2 linked regions of the Lepisosteus oculatus genome follow. The protein of the gene in region 1 interacts with the protein of each later gene in a pairwise test. Links are inferred from orthologs where the notes say so. Each region holds a gene or a part of one and is shown in the gene's direction. Other genes may lie near its edges.

The links. The genes of interacting proteins can lie anywhere in the genome.
Region 2: the proteins of ehhadh (region 1) and tpp2 interact in binary tests that used the Homo sapiens proteins (3 or more experiments, as listed by UniProt). The two-hybrid records come from large-scale screens. The link is inferred for Lepisosteus oculatus from reciprocal best matches to the Homo sapiens genes EHHADH and TPP2.

The regions. Positions count from the first base shown.
Region 1 is NC_090707.1:24,619,074-24,627,171, forward strand, and holds the start of ehhadh (peroxisomal bifunctional enzyme), read left to right. Parts: upstream 1-5,070; 5' UTR 5,071-5,461; coding exon 5,462-5,535; intron 5,536-6,239; coding exon 6,240-6,343; intron 6,344-7,234; coding exon 7,235-7,404; intron 7,405-7,999; coding exon 8,000-8,098. Other genes in the region: transmembrane protein 41A-B, read right to left, coding at 4,520-4,683. UniProt on the Homo sapiens protein: Peroxisomal trifunctional enzyme possessing 2-enoyl-CoA hydratase, 3-hydroxyacyl-CoA dehydrogenase, and delta 3, delta 2-enoyl-CoA isomerase activities. Catalyzes two of the four reactions of the long chain fatty acids peroxisomal beta-oxidation pathway.
Region 2 is NC_090710.1:29,087,785-29,095,879, forward strand, and holds the start of tpp2 (tripeptidyl-peptidase 2), read left to right. Parts: upstream 1-4,812; 5' UTR 4,813-4,933; coding exon 4,934-5,098; intron 5,099-6,465; coding exon 6,466-6,594; intron 6,595-6,991; coding exon 6,992-7,087; intron 7,088-7,585; coding exon 7,586-7,690; intron 7,691-8,095. UniProt on the Homo sapiens protein: Cytosolic tripeptidyl-peptidase that releases N-terminal tripeptides from polypeptides and is a component of the proteolytic cascade acting downstream of the 26S proteasome in the ubiquitin-proteasome pathway.

The DNA.
Region 1 (8,098 bases):
GGACATATTCTACTCCAGAAAAATGACATTGCTGAAGTGAAACCAGAGAGTACAGTATAATGGCACCGAATTACCTTTCACTGAAAAGTTAGTATCAATAAGAAATGAATGAACCAGGAGCCACTAAACAAACTATGGAGAATTTATCTATTATTTTACGTCAGTGATTCCCAAACCTGGTTCTGGGAATGATGGAATCTACTGTTTTTTTCAGCTGAGCTCTAAATTTTAAGTGCTAATGATGCCTTAAATTCATCTGCATGGTTGTTGAAACTCAGTTTGTTTGTTTCTGCACAGTCTGAGTTTCAAGAAAACCCTACTTTAAGCGTTCTGTTACCAACGTCAGCCTATAGAACCTTAAACAGTCTTTCCTCAACATGCTTTACCTTTTTTTCTGATTAAATAAATATTAACTGGTGATCAATTTATGAACAGGTGTGGGAAGTGCAATGATCAAACATTCCCACAATAAATAAGTTCCTTCTGGGGTCCATTATTTTGTATTTCACACATCTTAACAAGGGGAGTGCTTAAATTCACAAATTACAAATTACAAATCCCATTCTACGCTGAATTTACCAAAAGCAAACTGAAAGAATTAAGGAAATGATTAGGATGCGATTAAGAACTCAGCTGGAATTAGTGCAGAAGACATAGCAGTCTTACAGGATGAGGGATGGAAACCAGACAGGTCTCTAGACAAGAGTACGACACAGGAGGGAAAGCTCAAGTCTCAGATTTACATACAGATCACTTCCTGATTTGAAAGATCAGCTTTCTCACATCGTAACATCAGTGGCCACCTTTTAAAAGTGGCAGCACACATTACCTCTTGTTATACTGTGAAAAAGTTCATCTTTGATGGGGCTCCCAAGTGGATTATTTATTATAGACCTAATCATGCAGTTTCCAGCCATACATTATGTACATTAAGAGAACTGCAGTTATTAATTTAGTTGAAATTCATATAGGGATGTTTGTTAACTTAAATTCTAAAATATGAATAACTGTAAAAGGCAGTATTGTAAGTGTAATGTAATGTAATCACAGTTGTAATGAAAACCACATTCATGATGGTAATAGAAATATCCATTATTTATAAAATTTAAAATTATTGCATAATCATCACTTACTGAATAGTCCTCGAGACTTGCATGATCTATACTAAGGACGTGTGGCCCCTTTCCTTGTGTATGTATAATTACAACTGAATTTCAGCTCACACATCTGGATGTCGTGAACCACTTTCTTAATTTGTACAAGTTGTCCAGGTCTCTACTTTTATTATTTTTAAAGTTACCCATTGCTCCATCACCAATACAGTAGATAGCATATCAACAGTATGTTTCCACAATGTCAGTCAAAGGTCACCTTTAGCCTACGATTCAGTATGACCCAATAACACTGCAGTAACAAAAATGCACAAAGGGATTTATGAATAAGGAGGCTTTACCTAATATGCTTATAGCACCTTTCAAAGAAAACGTTACTGTTATTACTCATTCAGTTAGTTTTAGTGTGTCTGGAATAATTTTTACACAACACACTGTTTTATAACAAAGAATCCTTCTCTGGTATTGCAAGTACAACATTGTGTTTCATGGGAATGCAGCAAGCCTACTTCCAATCAGGTCCTTTCTGAAGTGACCTAGTTTTATTTGAGCCCAAAATGATTACATAATGACATTCTCTTTTCACAAGGTCACAGTGGCATGTTGCATGTGTCTGTATTCCTTTTTAGCTGGAAACATAGTTCCCTCTGGGAGAGTAAACACAGGTTCTAAATTTCACTCTGTAATTTAAAAGTGAAAGAAATAATACTCAAAAATAAATAAAATAAATATGAAGTTTAAAACTTGTTCATCCAGATTTGTTAAAAATACAGTTCTAGGTGAATGCATGGGGATGTGTGCCTGAAGAACAGGAAATCCAGACAGAATGGAACCCTTGATTATATTGATGAATTACCAACAACAAAATTCCTTTTCTTTTATTCACCAGATCAGCACTGCTCAGGCACATTCTTGTGACTGCCCATGCTACTTCATTTAAAAAATAAATACTGGACTACACCACAGATTGTCTTATGACAGTAAAGTCCAGCTTTTCAATGGTGGAGACCCTCTAGTTAACAAAATCTGAAACAAAATCTCACACGAGCATTTTGGGAACACATGCAGTTGTCTGCTCACTGTTTGCTCCTTCCTCCCTACATTATGGAATGTTTCCTTCTATGGAATTTTTTATTTACAATGGATTGATTAGACTGGTAAATTGGCACTGAGATATAGCAGTTGACCATGCTCCCTCACAGCTCTTGAATATATGCCAGGCAGGGGTGCATTCTGTATGGAGTTTGCATGCTCTCCCTTTATTTTCTCCTGGAATGGACTGGTATCCCATCCAGGTGTAGTTCTGCTTTGCACCCTTTGCTTTTGGGATTACAGTAGATCCGGTTTGTCCCCAACCCTTTCCAAAAATAAGTGGCTTTCTTATAATGGATGGATGAAGGATGATTTGATAGGCTGACATAAGCAGTCCCCCTTTATATACCACCACTGTTTACTGCGCAATCTTGGCTGGTTTATTTATATGGTTAAAATTCCAAACAAACTAACAAGAACACAGCCCTCAACAAAACGAAATCCGAGACTGATCTGTTATGAATCTTACCCAACCCTTGAGGAAGATATGCTAGCTCAAAACAGGTGTTGAATACTATGTGACCGTATCACTATCACTTCTGAGATGGTGTGGCTCAAACGGGTTTTAGAGCACGTGGAATTATGGTGCTCAGCACATTTGGTCGGAAAACTTGCATGGCAGTGCTGCAAATGGGATCAGGCGGATTGCAGATTAGACATGTTGGGGACTAACTTCGTGAAACATGGCCATCCCCCCAAAACAGGTGTCTGATCTTGTGGAAAACCCCAGCAGAAAGCAAGATCAAGAGCAAGATCTACAGTTACGTGGTGCTATAAATAGGTGATCATCACAGAGGGGAAGAAAATCACTGACCATATTACATTACTCCTTTTGAATTTGAGCTATACATTCTTTATATATTTTGTGTCACCCTGTGAAAGGAAATAATAAGAACATAAATCTATCAAGATATTATAAACATAAACATCACAACTTACTGTATGTTGTGTGTAGAGCAATGTAGATCTTACTTTAATCACTTTCATAGTGTAGGCCTTACTTTTATATTTTCCTTTTAATACAAATGACTGTCAGCCACTTCATAACTTTAAAAGAGTAGGGCTATGGTGGTGATACACATTATTTTTATATCATAATAATAAGGTAACATTACAAACTAACCCTATCCGTGGTTACATAAAACAGGATATTACATACAAACTGGAGACTGATTTTTCTGATTTCTTTCATACTATCAAACCTTTAATGGCAGCACCAAATTTGGCAACACATTTCTCAAAAATGTTTAACTAAGATAAATAAAATCAATTGTATCAATACCGTGATGCCTCTAAACCCATAGTGCTTGTCTTGCTTTTGAACATTATCTTCAAAACTTAATGTATGTAAAACCTGACCATTCGACATCACCGATGTCTTAAATATTAAATAAAAGGTGTCAGTGTTACCGCTGCAACAGTCCAGGAAAAGCGAACGTACAGTCAAATGAATGTCGTTACTGGGTCTAGTTATTTCCATATTAGAAATGCATGCATTGCTACACGTATTATTACAGTAGAAAAGTCGTATTATTATTGCTATTATTTACGCAAATAAAACGTGCATCATAAGACTAAAACGTACCTTTGTGGAGATTAGGTACTCGACTAGAGTGCTCGCTTTCATACCAAAATTCATTTTTAACATGCACACAGATGTAATACGCGTTATTAGTAATTGATATAGTTGAAGCTCTATAGTAAAAGTTTTACTAAAACGCATGGCTTCAAAACCAATACAGCCATGTTTAGAATACATGCTAGTCGCATTTAAATAAAGCGGGAGCCTGTTACTGTATATGTAAGGTTCTTCTGTGTAGTTGGGAAGTAGTTACTGTACCCTCCAAGTCTTAAAGATGGAAGTCTGTATTGATTATAACACCCCGGTGACAGTGTCAATAAATAAGCATTATTACAAATCATAGAATTACGCGTTCGTTGTGTACTCAGTTATTACATTTCACTGAGCATTTATTTTTTAAATGAACTTATTTTCTCAAACCTTACAGCATCAACTACAGACATCTTCCTTCATAAGACACGTCGTTGATTTTTTACTTTAAAAGCATATTCCACATACTCAACCTTAAAAAATGTTAACGTAGTACAATATTATTCAACAATCCCCGCGGTACTAAAAACAAATTTTAATGTCTACATTATTCCATAATGGTCACTACCACAAAACGAGAAAACATGAAATTGCCAACTTTTGATTATGACATTTCCCATGAGTCTGGATGAGAAATGAGACAAAATGCTTGCAGTAGCGGTGTCTTTGTCTGACCAAGAACGCAGTATCAATTATAACTTACCTATGTTCTTCCGACCCCAAGTCGGGGTCCGAGTTTTCATTGGACTTGACCGGCTCATCCCCTGTACGAGGGTGATGCGGCCCCGGGGGCAAATAAGTGGAGAGAAGGTAGAGATAGAAAGTAGCCGCAGTGACCAGTAAAATTAACCCCGATATAGATCGCATGGTCCCAGGGCTAGCACTTCAGAGGCTAAATCTCTAGCTCCGGAACTTACAGAGTGACAGCAATGTTGTTTGAGCACTGAGCAACTTAACCTCTCCCTACAGTATCCTTGTACAGACAGCGGAACTACATTACTGTGGTAACAAAAATAAAGGGGAACATTAAGAGCAGTCGGACTGATAACAGTAAGACGGATCACGTATATCCGTCAAAATATCTCTGCCAAGCTAGCGTCGCTAAATGCAGCTAGCATCACGCTACTCGATGTCAAAGTCCAATGTAAAGTCAGTGTGGTACTGGCGTAGTTTTGCGTCAGATGCACATGGCCTTGTAGCTTTAAACGTGGACTTTGAAGTTACGTATATGCTACAACCTCAGATTTAAACATGTTGCAGAGAACTGTTGTTTCTTTTATCAATAAATGTATTGCTTCTTAACAATAAGCGTTGCTCAATTAGATATAGACACTCATTCAACAAGAAAACCGATTCACTTCCATTAATATCTACATAAAGATGAAATTTAAAAAGTATAAACAAAAATAATGGTGTGGAATTTTACTTGTGTAAACTCGGGAGTTTGACCTATCTGACTAGCTGTGTGCACTCATATCTTCCTTTCGGGCAACTAAAAAACATAAGGTTAAATGTTTTGGTTGGCAGACTACATTTACGTATTGCGGTGAGGATCTCACCTGGTTAAAGTTCAAGGTTTCGTAGGTATTTCACTAGCGCATCTGTTAGTGGAACGATAGTATTATCAGTCTCTGTGGAAAACAAAATGGCAGTTTATACTCGCATTCCTGGCTCCGTTGCTGTAATAACGTTGACTAACCCACCCGTCAATGCACTCAGGTAAGCTTAATTTAAGTAAAAATAGTTATGTATTCTTGCTGGTAATGTCATTGACAACGCAACAGACTAAAGTTGAAAGGAAAAGTACTGTAAGGATTTTTTAGTTAAATATTTTCATAGGTTACTGGGCAAACTATGTAAAATAAGTGTGCTGCTATAGACATCTGCACTAGCTGTGCAAGAACGGTGTGTATGCCCTTAGTAGCTATACTGTACACTGAGCTGCAACATTGTTTTCACCCTCAAGCTGCGTGTTCCGGCTTTATAAAATAAATGTCTGTCATAAATTAACATTATTAAATTATCACCACGAAACATACGGTACACCTATTGCCTCTTTTAAAACTTTATATAAGTTATGAAGGGTAATGTAGTCTTTGAACTGTGAACTGTCCTTCACTTTTTTCTTGTCCGTCTGTTTATTTATGATGTCAATCAACATTCCCTTTAACAAAGCCCTCAAAATATTTTCTTGCAGAAACTAGGAGGGAAATTATATAAAGTTCATACTATGTAATAGCCTTCACCAGTTTGTACCTTCTGGTTTGTGAAGGTTTGCACTTAATTTAATTTGTGAAAAGTGCTCTTAATTTAATGCAGATCTATAATTTAGGAGGTATGAATTCACTGTATGAATCTGTCTGTGCTATGTACATTGGGAACACTGCAATGTTGATAATGTGGATTGTTATAATGTCCTCCAGCTCCACAGTACGTAAGGCCATCAGTCAGACAGTAAGCAGAGCTGGTGCTGACTCAGAAGTAAAAGCTGTTGTGCTGTGTGGAGACAACAGGATGTTTTGTGCTGGTAAGGAAAGGACTGTGTCTGTTATTGACAAAGTGGCAGTTAGGTTCTTGGTTGAAAGTTGAGTGGCCATTCTTTAGCTTGAAAAATATAGCTTAGTATGAGCACAGTATGAGCTATGTAAACAAACTGAACTTGGAACATTAAAATAAGTTATCAAATGCCTGTGATATATTAGTAATTCTGAAAAAAAAACGGGTGTGGTCCAAGCTAATATTCAGTATATATGGGCTTTGTCTGAACACTCAGATGTTGTTTAGCAGGTACAAACATCAGCTAGCCAGTGCTAGAGCTGATAGAACAGTAGGCACAAGCTAAGTAAAGCCTAAGCTAAAGTCTGGAGAAAACAGTTGAATTACCTTGGAAGCAGTAATATTCAAGGAATGCCAAACTCATTAAAAGCATTTAGATTTAAATTAACATTGGATTTAAAACATTATGCTTTAAATCTACTTCTCTTCATGAAAAATCAATAAAAACACATTTATTTTATTGAAATAGGTAGGTCATGTACCTATTTGGACTTTGTAACATTGATTTTATCCCCCTGAAAGTGCTGTAAACACAGCTTAGCTGGAGATTATTTTTGAACATGGTATGTGAAACAGTGCACATGAAACTGTGAATGCTTTTAAGTCTGGCTTCACCAGACTGGAAAAAAGGCAAATATTAATGACCTAGCAGCAATTCCATTCATATATGAGAGGCCTATAATAAACCCATTTATTTGTTCTCTTAAAAAATGTGCAAATTCATAAAAATGTTTAAAAAATATTGCCAGTTCATATTCTTTTCATCCTCTATTAGTGTAATTGCCATTGAAATGTACTGTAGGCAGTGTTCTTGGTCTCTTTTGCTGACCAGAAGCTGCTGTCATGTTTTTTGTGGGTGCAGGGGCGGATATCCGGGAGTTCTCGGGGACGATGTCCGGCCCAGCCCTGGTGCCCCTGATCGACGAGATTGAGGGCGGCGAGAAGCCCGTGGTGGCAGCAATAGAGGGCGTGGCCCTGGGGGGTGGGCTGGAGCTGGCTCTGGGCTGTCATTACCGCATCGCTCACTCCGAGGTAAGGTCAACCAGCAAGCTAGGACATTTCTTCTCTTTCCTGCACCATCAGTATAATCATTAGATGCCAATAAGTCCTTGTATGTATCAAACTGCTACACAATGTTAGGGGTCTGTTGGTTTCTCGTGTCTGGAGAAGCTAGTAGGTCACAGGTAGCACTGCAAACAAATAATTTCATTAGAGAAAAAAATGTGTTTCTGGTTGTGTGACAGGTTGAACATGTTTCGCTTTATTTTCTGTGTGTACTATTTGGTTATATTTTTATTTTCAGAACTTGAATAAGTCACGTATTTTATTGTATACCATCATGTTTATAAAGAGGACTTTTTGCGAGAAATAGGTCTTCACAGAGTGAAAATTCCCTTTGGAAATGGAGTTGTCTGTTTTCTCCTGAACATGACTTGAGTTCTGCACAAGTTACTGCTAATTTGGGGAATAGTTTGTGCAGTGAATTGACATTTATATCTGCATTAGTCTAATTTCATTTAGTACCTAGTGATCAGAGTTATCTAGACATTTGTGTTTTAGTGGGAGGTAGACGTTCGTTGCTGAAGTCATTCTTTCTCATACTGTTCTCCTGCTCTTGGTGCTGTAGGCTCGGGTAGGACTCCCAGAAGTCACGCTGGGTCTTCTTCCGGCTGCAGGGGGCACACAACGCTTGCCCCGGCTCACTGGGATTCCTGCTGCTCTGGAA
Region 2 (8,095 bases), on another chromosome or scaffold:
AGTGGTGGAAAAGCTCACAGATTCAGACCAGAGATTCTTGAAATGTCCTCAGATTTCTATGAAGGCGTGACAGCTGCTAATAGCAGTGTCACCAGCTTGTAGCTTGATCCTGTCACATATCAGAACGTAAACAAGTCTGGGCCTGATCGGTACCGGAATCCGAGACATCCAAGGAGCACCAAGTTACAACTATAAGTGATGTTAGTGGTGCTCTTCTCTCTAGAGGAGGGACACATCATTGCAGGAGGTGCTGTCTTAAGACAGACCAAGCTCATTAAGAGATCCCATGAGACTGTTCACAGGAGTAGGGCTGTAAACCCTGGTACCCTGGCTAGATTTGATTCTACATATGCACAAGCTGACCTGCATGGAGTTGCTATCAATCTAGGCCCACAGGAATGTTAAGAAATGCATGTTCATTTAGACTTTGAGTGCCAGCAATGTTATTTAGGATGTCTGAGGTCACATGGTACTGATTTACATTAAAATGCTGATCACTCCTGGTTTGCACATACAGCTCATAAGGGGTAACCTCATGTTAACAGTTGTTGTCAGGGGCTTAATGCAGCATTTACAATAGAGTTAGGCCTATTACAGTTATGCTTTGTTTCCTTGTTTTATTTTCAGGCCCAGTCTGTGTGGGTAAGATTCTGTATTGTTTCTTTTTCCTGTGAAGAAAAGAAAGAGATTGTCTAACTTGGCAGAGACATTACTTCAGAAAACAAACGGAACATGTTTTCCGACAAAAGCGCAGGTTTGACAGATCATTTAAATAGTAGTAAGCTGCCACCTAGTGTCAACAGCTGAGAATGCAAGGGGGGACACTGGTCGTGAAGTTTAATGTAGAGTAATAGCATGAGACCTTAGACATCTCAAATAACGAACATGCCATTTCTTAACACCCCCTGTCCACCTAGAATAATAGCAAAATTCTAGGACCATGAGGAATTGTAATTAATTGCTTACCCACTACAAAGCAGTTTACCTAGAGAAGTTACAGGGTAAGGAAGCACTTCAGGCAGGTCAGTGTGTCCATGTGTATAAACTCAAATCGATCATTTTCATTTACAATAAAGCAGACGTAATCCATGTATAGTGGCAGCACCAGAAACCATTTTTAGTGAGGGCTTAGCATGTGGGAGAGTGAAGACATGATGAATTTTTTGGTTTAATATGCTCTGGTGTTTGCCTGTGGTAACAGCAACCTCTGAAACCACAAATGTGGCCAATCCTATATAGTTACCCTGTACTTTATGAGACAGACTTTTAAACAACACAGGTATCGCCAAATGGATTTCATAAAGTGGTGTGACTTAGTCCCCAAGCATAATGACAGACAACTCAACCCTCCCAGTCTAGATCTACATCTAAAGAGATTTAGATTAGCAGTGCTAGTGTGTTTCAGCACAGTAACAGAAAATCCCTTCTTTCAGTGTAAGAATACAGTACCTTTTGCTCCTTTGATACCCTCCAGTTTCCAGGACAGAAGCCTTCCCCAGATTGCTACGATTGTTATTTAAATTCTTCATTAGTTTAGTTGGAACAATTTCAGTCAGAACTGCGTCTGACATGTTTTTAGATACCACTGACCAAGTTATGATGCAAGAAATAAAAGGTAAATATAAATGTAATTGTAAAATTTCCCTCATGACTGCTTCACACATTTATGACTGCACGGTCCTGTGCACTTGTGAAGCTGAGTTTGGTTTTACGACATAAAAAATTGCAGCTCTCAAGTGATGCATCTCAAACTTCCTTGTAGCACAACCCTAATTAACTAGCCTCCAGTTACAACATTAACATGCAATTAGTTTCTGAAAGTTACCGATCCACTTTGATTACTAATCTTTAGCATTTTGAACAAGATTGGATGAGATTACAAGGACTGAGAACAAACAGAAATGAAAGTTTATAGAGTGTAGTAAATCCAGAGGTCAAGACTGAACCAAAACAGTCTTTCATTCTTCCATTTTTTTCTCATTTGTTTTCGTGTTGAATCATGAAAACAAATTAGATAATTACCCAGAGAGCACCAGGAAGTGCACCTGAAACACTGAATATTAACATTGCAACTATAATTAGTGTAGATTTATCAAAAAACAGTAGGAGGTATAGAAGTTTCCATCTAGCACAATTTCACTTGTCAGTAAGAATCAGTCCTATGCTTGTCTAGACATGCATTATGTCTAATGCACCTATTTAGAAAACATTCAAAACTGATTTATGGTATGAATGCTTACGGTTTCTTACAAAACTGACGTGTGGAAGTTCAAGAAGAAGTCTGTATGTATATAGTGAAGTGCCTTTAAAACTGCAAACAGGAGGTGTCTCTTTACCCAAAGGGTTGCGGGAGTATGGAACAAACCGCTCGGCCATCTTCTTGAAGCTGAGACATTGGCTCCTTCCAAGAAACAGCTAGAGGTTATATCCAGAAATAACTGGTTAACTACCAAAACAGGAGGGATGTGCCAAAGGGGCTCCTCTCATTTGTAACATATCAGACAGAGAAGCTTAAGTATTTTAAGGTCAATGATTCTTTGTTGGTTTTGTTCTACTGGCCCTGCCTTGAATCTGTGCTAACTTTTACCCTGATCTGCTGGTTTGGTAACCTGAATCTGAGAAGCAAGAACAAACTGGGCAGCCTTGTGAAAATATGTCAGAAGGTCCTTGGTGCTGATCTTCCAGCCATCTCCTCCATCTATCATTCACGTGTTTTACACAAAGCAAAATCCATCTGCAATGATCATTCACACCCCTTGTTTAATAATTTACAGTTACTCCCATCAGAACACAGATACCGACTCTCCAGCTCCAAAACCAACAGATTCATACCTGTAGCCATATCCTTACGTAACTCTTGACCTTCAATGTAAATATGTATGTATATTGTTGTTCCTGTCTTTTTGTTCTGTTTGTCTGTACACCAACACTGCTGCTGTAAAACAACTTGCTTCCCCTGGGGTAATAAAGACACTCTTTCTCTCTAAACTCATACCCAGTGCTGACAATCCCTAATCCCTGGTCTCAGGGTGTCTTTTGAGCAAAACTGCTGAACTGAGTGAAAATTCCTTTGGAAATGAAGGGAGTTGGCAGACAATTAATCACCACTTTCTTAAAGTCTGGCTCTTCAGAAAAAGCTAAACGAACTACTTTACAACACAGAGAAACATACTTTCTTTTAATAAAAAAAAAGACCACTGAGGACCAAATGTTTCTCTTTGCATTCATAAACTGTAACTCTTTGGAAGTATTTTGAAACAAATATATTTTTCTCCCCAACTGTTATGTTCAGTCACACACAGATGAAAATGAACAGGGCACTTCGGACAGCATGAGGGACAAGACCAACAGTACTAAGGAAGGTAGTCAATTGCATGGAGACAAGAGATAAATGAATTATGATTGGTGTACTTACATTTTTTAATTTAGGTTACAAAACAAGTCAATTGAGAATAAATTCTCATTTACAGCAACATCCTTGAGACTCGTTTCTGCATTTTTTGGACCAATCTGAGCATGACCCTTCACTCAAGGGTGCGACAATCGCAACCCATTTAGGATTTGAACCTGTAGCCCTCTGATTTGGGGGTAAAAGCCGTGACCTATACTCCACACCACTGCCTGTAGTGTAAGACATATCTTGTTGTACATGAAACACCTCACTGGAGACGGGCTAACCTGAACTAATTCTTCTCTCTAAAGAGTATCTTGTCTTGTCAGCTGGAGTGATTCTTAAGACTGGGGCACTTCCAGTTTATCTGTATGGAGATGTGCAGATTGTAAAACAAAGTTGTGAGTAGTTTATTATTGCCATGAATTAAGGTTCCAGTTTCACACAAGCCAGGCTTAGCCTATAGCTAGGGATTGTAATTCTTCAATTAAGACCCAACACAGAAAGATGGGCAGGATGGTTGGTCCCTTTTCAGGCCATTAAGGCCCAGGGGGAATGGGGGGGCAAGGGCCACCATTATTCCTCAACCATCTGACACTGGAGGTGGAGGTGATGAGGTCAGCACCACGCGCCAGCCAGCCTGTTACCCCCAGAAGGATTAACCCCCAGTACTCTAGTGGAAAGCAGGCTGAGTGGACCTGGGAGCCCTCTGGAAGGAATTAGAGCAAGCTACATCACCTGCCCCCTACCCGGGACTGAACTCTGGACTTTCTGGTCAGGAGCTAGACTTCAACTTCGTCAGCTTCTTCCTAGTCTCCTCTCTGGAGGAGGAGGGTATTTTCTATACAGAAGCTGTGCTTCATATTCGTTGTTTTGCTTCATTATGTGTTCGGCCCATCTTGCATAGATTGTTACTTCCTATGCTGGTAATCGAAAACAAAATTTTCATAAAACATCAACTCAAATTATTTTGAAGCAAAGGCACACGGGACACCCTGCAGCCTTTGTGGAAACCGTGTGTTTGGCTGTACAATATGGTGTGCTGAGGCTGTTCGTTTGCCAATGGACTGAGTTCAAGCAGATTGCATAGGTGCACAGTTTTTCCATAAAGACCCTGAATTCTCCTCACTGCTCTCCTTCATAGCTGGCAGCTTGTCTACACTTGTGAATACACCACCACTCATGGGCATAGCATCTTTTATTTAATATTTACTGTTATTCAAAGAAAACCAAAACCGTGAGTTTAAAGGATGCTGCAGTAATTGGGTGCTTTTTGTAATTACATTCGTTACCTAATGATTTGGTTTGTGCAATCAGATATTAAATCGACTGTAACTTCCAGAAAAACGGACAAACAGAAGAGTTATCGTAAACTGCCCAAGGAAAACGCCTGAACATTGAACGCGGCACCGGGCTGAAAAAGTGGACTCTGTCTCTTTAAAAAGCGTTCCCCCAGTCTCCGGCTCAGGCAGTGTGTGTGTATACGGTTTCTCATCCCCCGCTCCGGCTCGTTATTGTTTATCATCGTCGTTTTGTCAGGTCATGGCTGCTCATTGTGCTGAAGAACCCTTCCCTTTCCACGGACTGCTTCCCAAAAAAGAGACCGGGGCCGCGTCCTTCCTTTGTCGGTACCCCGAGTACGATGGTCGGGGCGTCCTCATCGCCATCCTCGATACCGGCGTGGACCCAGGGGCCCCGGGTATGCAGGTAACACCAGCAGGGGGAGTGCGGGGAGGTGCAGGCCGCACGTCGGCAGCCGCCGGAGTCACTTGATGGAAGTTACCCGGCAGGAAGCCGGCTGTGCGGCGTGGGACAGTGACTTTATGCATGGTCGCTTCTCCACAGGCCTGCATCGGTGAAGTCGGTTAACAATGGCACATTGCCGTGTCCAGTCATCTCTTGTGTATCTGGGCACCCTGAGCGAGACTTGTTTGTTGACGTTTGTTTTGCATCGCTAGCTGTTCCCAGCTCTGCTTTGCTTTGCTTACCATTTTCAATCGCAATTTCCTTCAGGGTTTTCTTTTAGCTGAAACGTTTTTGAACAGTGCCAGCTGCAACAGGGCAGGGGTTGTCCCGTTTCATATTTTTGAATGAAATTTGTCTTTTATCGGAGCTGGTGGAGATAAAAAAAAAACAACATCCTCAAGGTGATGAAATGAGATGGAAAACGCTGGGCATTAAAACAAAAATCCAGTTGTAGGAATTTAATGTGTATTATTGCAGCTAAAATCGACAAAAAAAACCCAACTTAGCTGACATCATTTATATGAGTAGTTATACTGATATATTTTAATTATGAATCTGACAGTGTAATATAAACAAACCTAGCACTGATTTATCATTTATTGTAAGTGAATTTATTTTGCCCATCAAATAAAAAAAAAAAAGATCATGGTCCATTTTAATTTATTCATTATTCTGATTTGTTTTTATTTTAATCAAATCTGTTGTGAGGTTAGCAGGATTTCATATAACTTGATTCTGAAGTGCTCAGTTTTTCAATAATGTCAATTCTGTTTTCTTTTGAAATATGTCTACATCACAGAACACTTTTTAGACACTTTTAGACACTAGTTTGGGTGCATTTTTCTCCCCATCTGTATTTTTTGCACACAGGGAGAAAAATAAAATTTAGTTCTGGCTATTTTTTCAGTGTCTGAAAGGGCTTTAGGCAGCGATACTGCAGTGATCCACCGAGCTCCGAGAAAAGTTGAAAGCCGTCAATAACTGAATCTGACCTATTTACCTCTTGCCATGTATTGATGTGTTTATTTGTACATGAATACATCAATCCAGTCTTTTATACTAGAAGTTAGCCATTTGCAAAATTGTCCAGAATGGCTAAAAACATTGCTTGCTCTTTTGTACTTCTCCGTGGGAGAAGCCAAAGACAAATTCCCAACAGCAGTGGACAATAAAGTATCTACCCCTTCGATTGAAAGGGCTTCCCTCGTAGTTGTCTTCTTGATTTCTGCAAGCAGGTATTGACAGAGTGCGGCCGCCCACCAGGACCAGCGGCTGCACACGCCTCGAGCTCTCGGTCATCTCTCGCGGTCAAAACGTTCTCTTTTTAGGTGACGTCCGATGGGAAGCCGAAGATCGTGGATATCATCGACACGACGGGCAGTGGGGATGTGAACATGTCCACGGTGGTGGAGCCGAAGGACGGCATTGTGGTGGGCCTGTCGGGGAGGACGTTGAAGGTCAGGCCCCTCGGTCAGCAGAGTCTGTGCTCTCTTCCTGTCCTGCCTTTGTAGCTTGATGGCGACAGCTGTGCTGCATTCAGTGGAGGTGGCCATGCGCTCTGTGTGGTTGCCTGTGTTTTAGCTCTTCTGCCGCTCTGATGAGTAGAGAGAAATGTCCAGGGCCTTCTTAGGGTCAAACAGACCTGAGGAGCTTACTCCAGCCCGCTGTGATTCACGTCCATTCGTTTACATGAACTTCTTGACCTTTGAACGGGAGGTTCCCCTTTTACCCGGAACCACGCAGAAATGTTCTTCAGTAGCCGAAAAATCGATGCCTTTCGAAATCCTTTTGTGTTGATACTGTTTTTAATGCAAAAGGTGCAGTCTCACGCCATCGTGTCTGTTGCTCTTGTAGATTCCTGCAACATGGATAAACCCATCGGGGAAGTATCACATCGGTGTCAAAAATGGATACGAGTTTTTTCCAAAAGCCCTGAAAGAGAGAGTACAGGTAACAGTGCATGCACGTTCTACTTTCGACTTAAGTATTTTTTATTGATACTCGGTAACTCAGTGGCTGTTGCAGCCCTCTCAAGCACAAGTAAATAAACAGTGGGAACACTATATATTGGTTTTGTTGTCCCGTTCAATCCCATTTTCTCCCACTCAATGTAATGTGCAAATTACCCACTATGTTGTCTCAAGGCTTATTTTGTTTTTTTCTTTTCAGCCTTCGTTTGACTTTAGCAAAGTGTAATGGGATCATTTAACTCTTGAGCCCTTTGGCTATTTTTACAAGGTAGTAAGTCAAAAACAGATACATTAAGCAGATAGGTAATAGATAAAGGGTCAGGTACACAGATTAAAGCAGTTTCCAATTCAAGGATGCATGAGCTGTATTGGATTTGCTTTTTAATTAAGGTCGATTTTTAGTTCCTCGTGCCCAGTGCCCTACTGTGGGAGCAGGTGTTAAGGTACCTGTGGTTGTCTTTGTGTTTTCTTTGTGCAGAAGGACCGCAAAGAGAAGCTGTGGGACCCGTCCCATCGAGCTGTGCTGGCTGAAGCCTGCCGGAAGCAGGAGGAGTTTGACAGCACGCACACCACTCTGTCCCAGGTCAGCTGGACAACTGCTGAACAGTCACACGCTGAACACAGGGCCGTCAGTGGCTCTGCTGATCCTGATGAACACCTACCACACCATCAGTGCACAGCAGACTGAGCCCAGCTCTTTGAGTGGCTCTGTTGGTACATATGAGCACCTGCTATCCCCCTGGTACAGCACACACAGATCTCTGAGCTTTCAGAGGCTGTGTTGCTTCAGATCTCTCTCAAAAAAAAAAAACCCCAACAAAACCACATCCTGCTTAAAGGAGAGTGAGACATACACAAAGATGGGGCACATCTATTGCAGAGTTTTTTGTTTTTGTAAGCTGATGTCATCGATTGGAGACTTTTTCGGCTGTGAAGCTAGTTACAGTGCTTCGTATAAAACCTTTAAAAGACTAAGAAACGAGTAAGG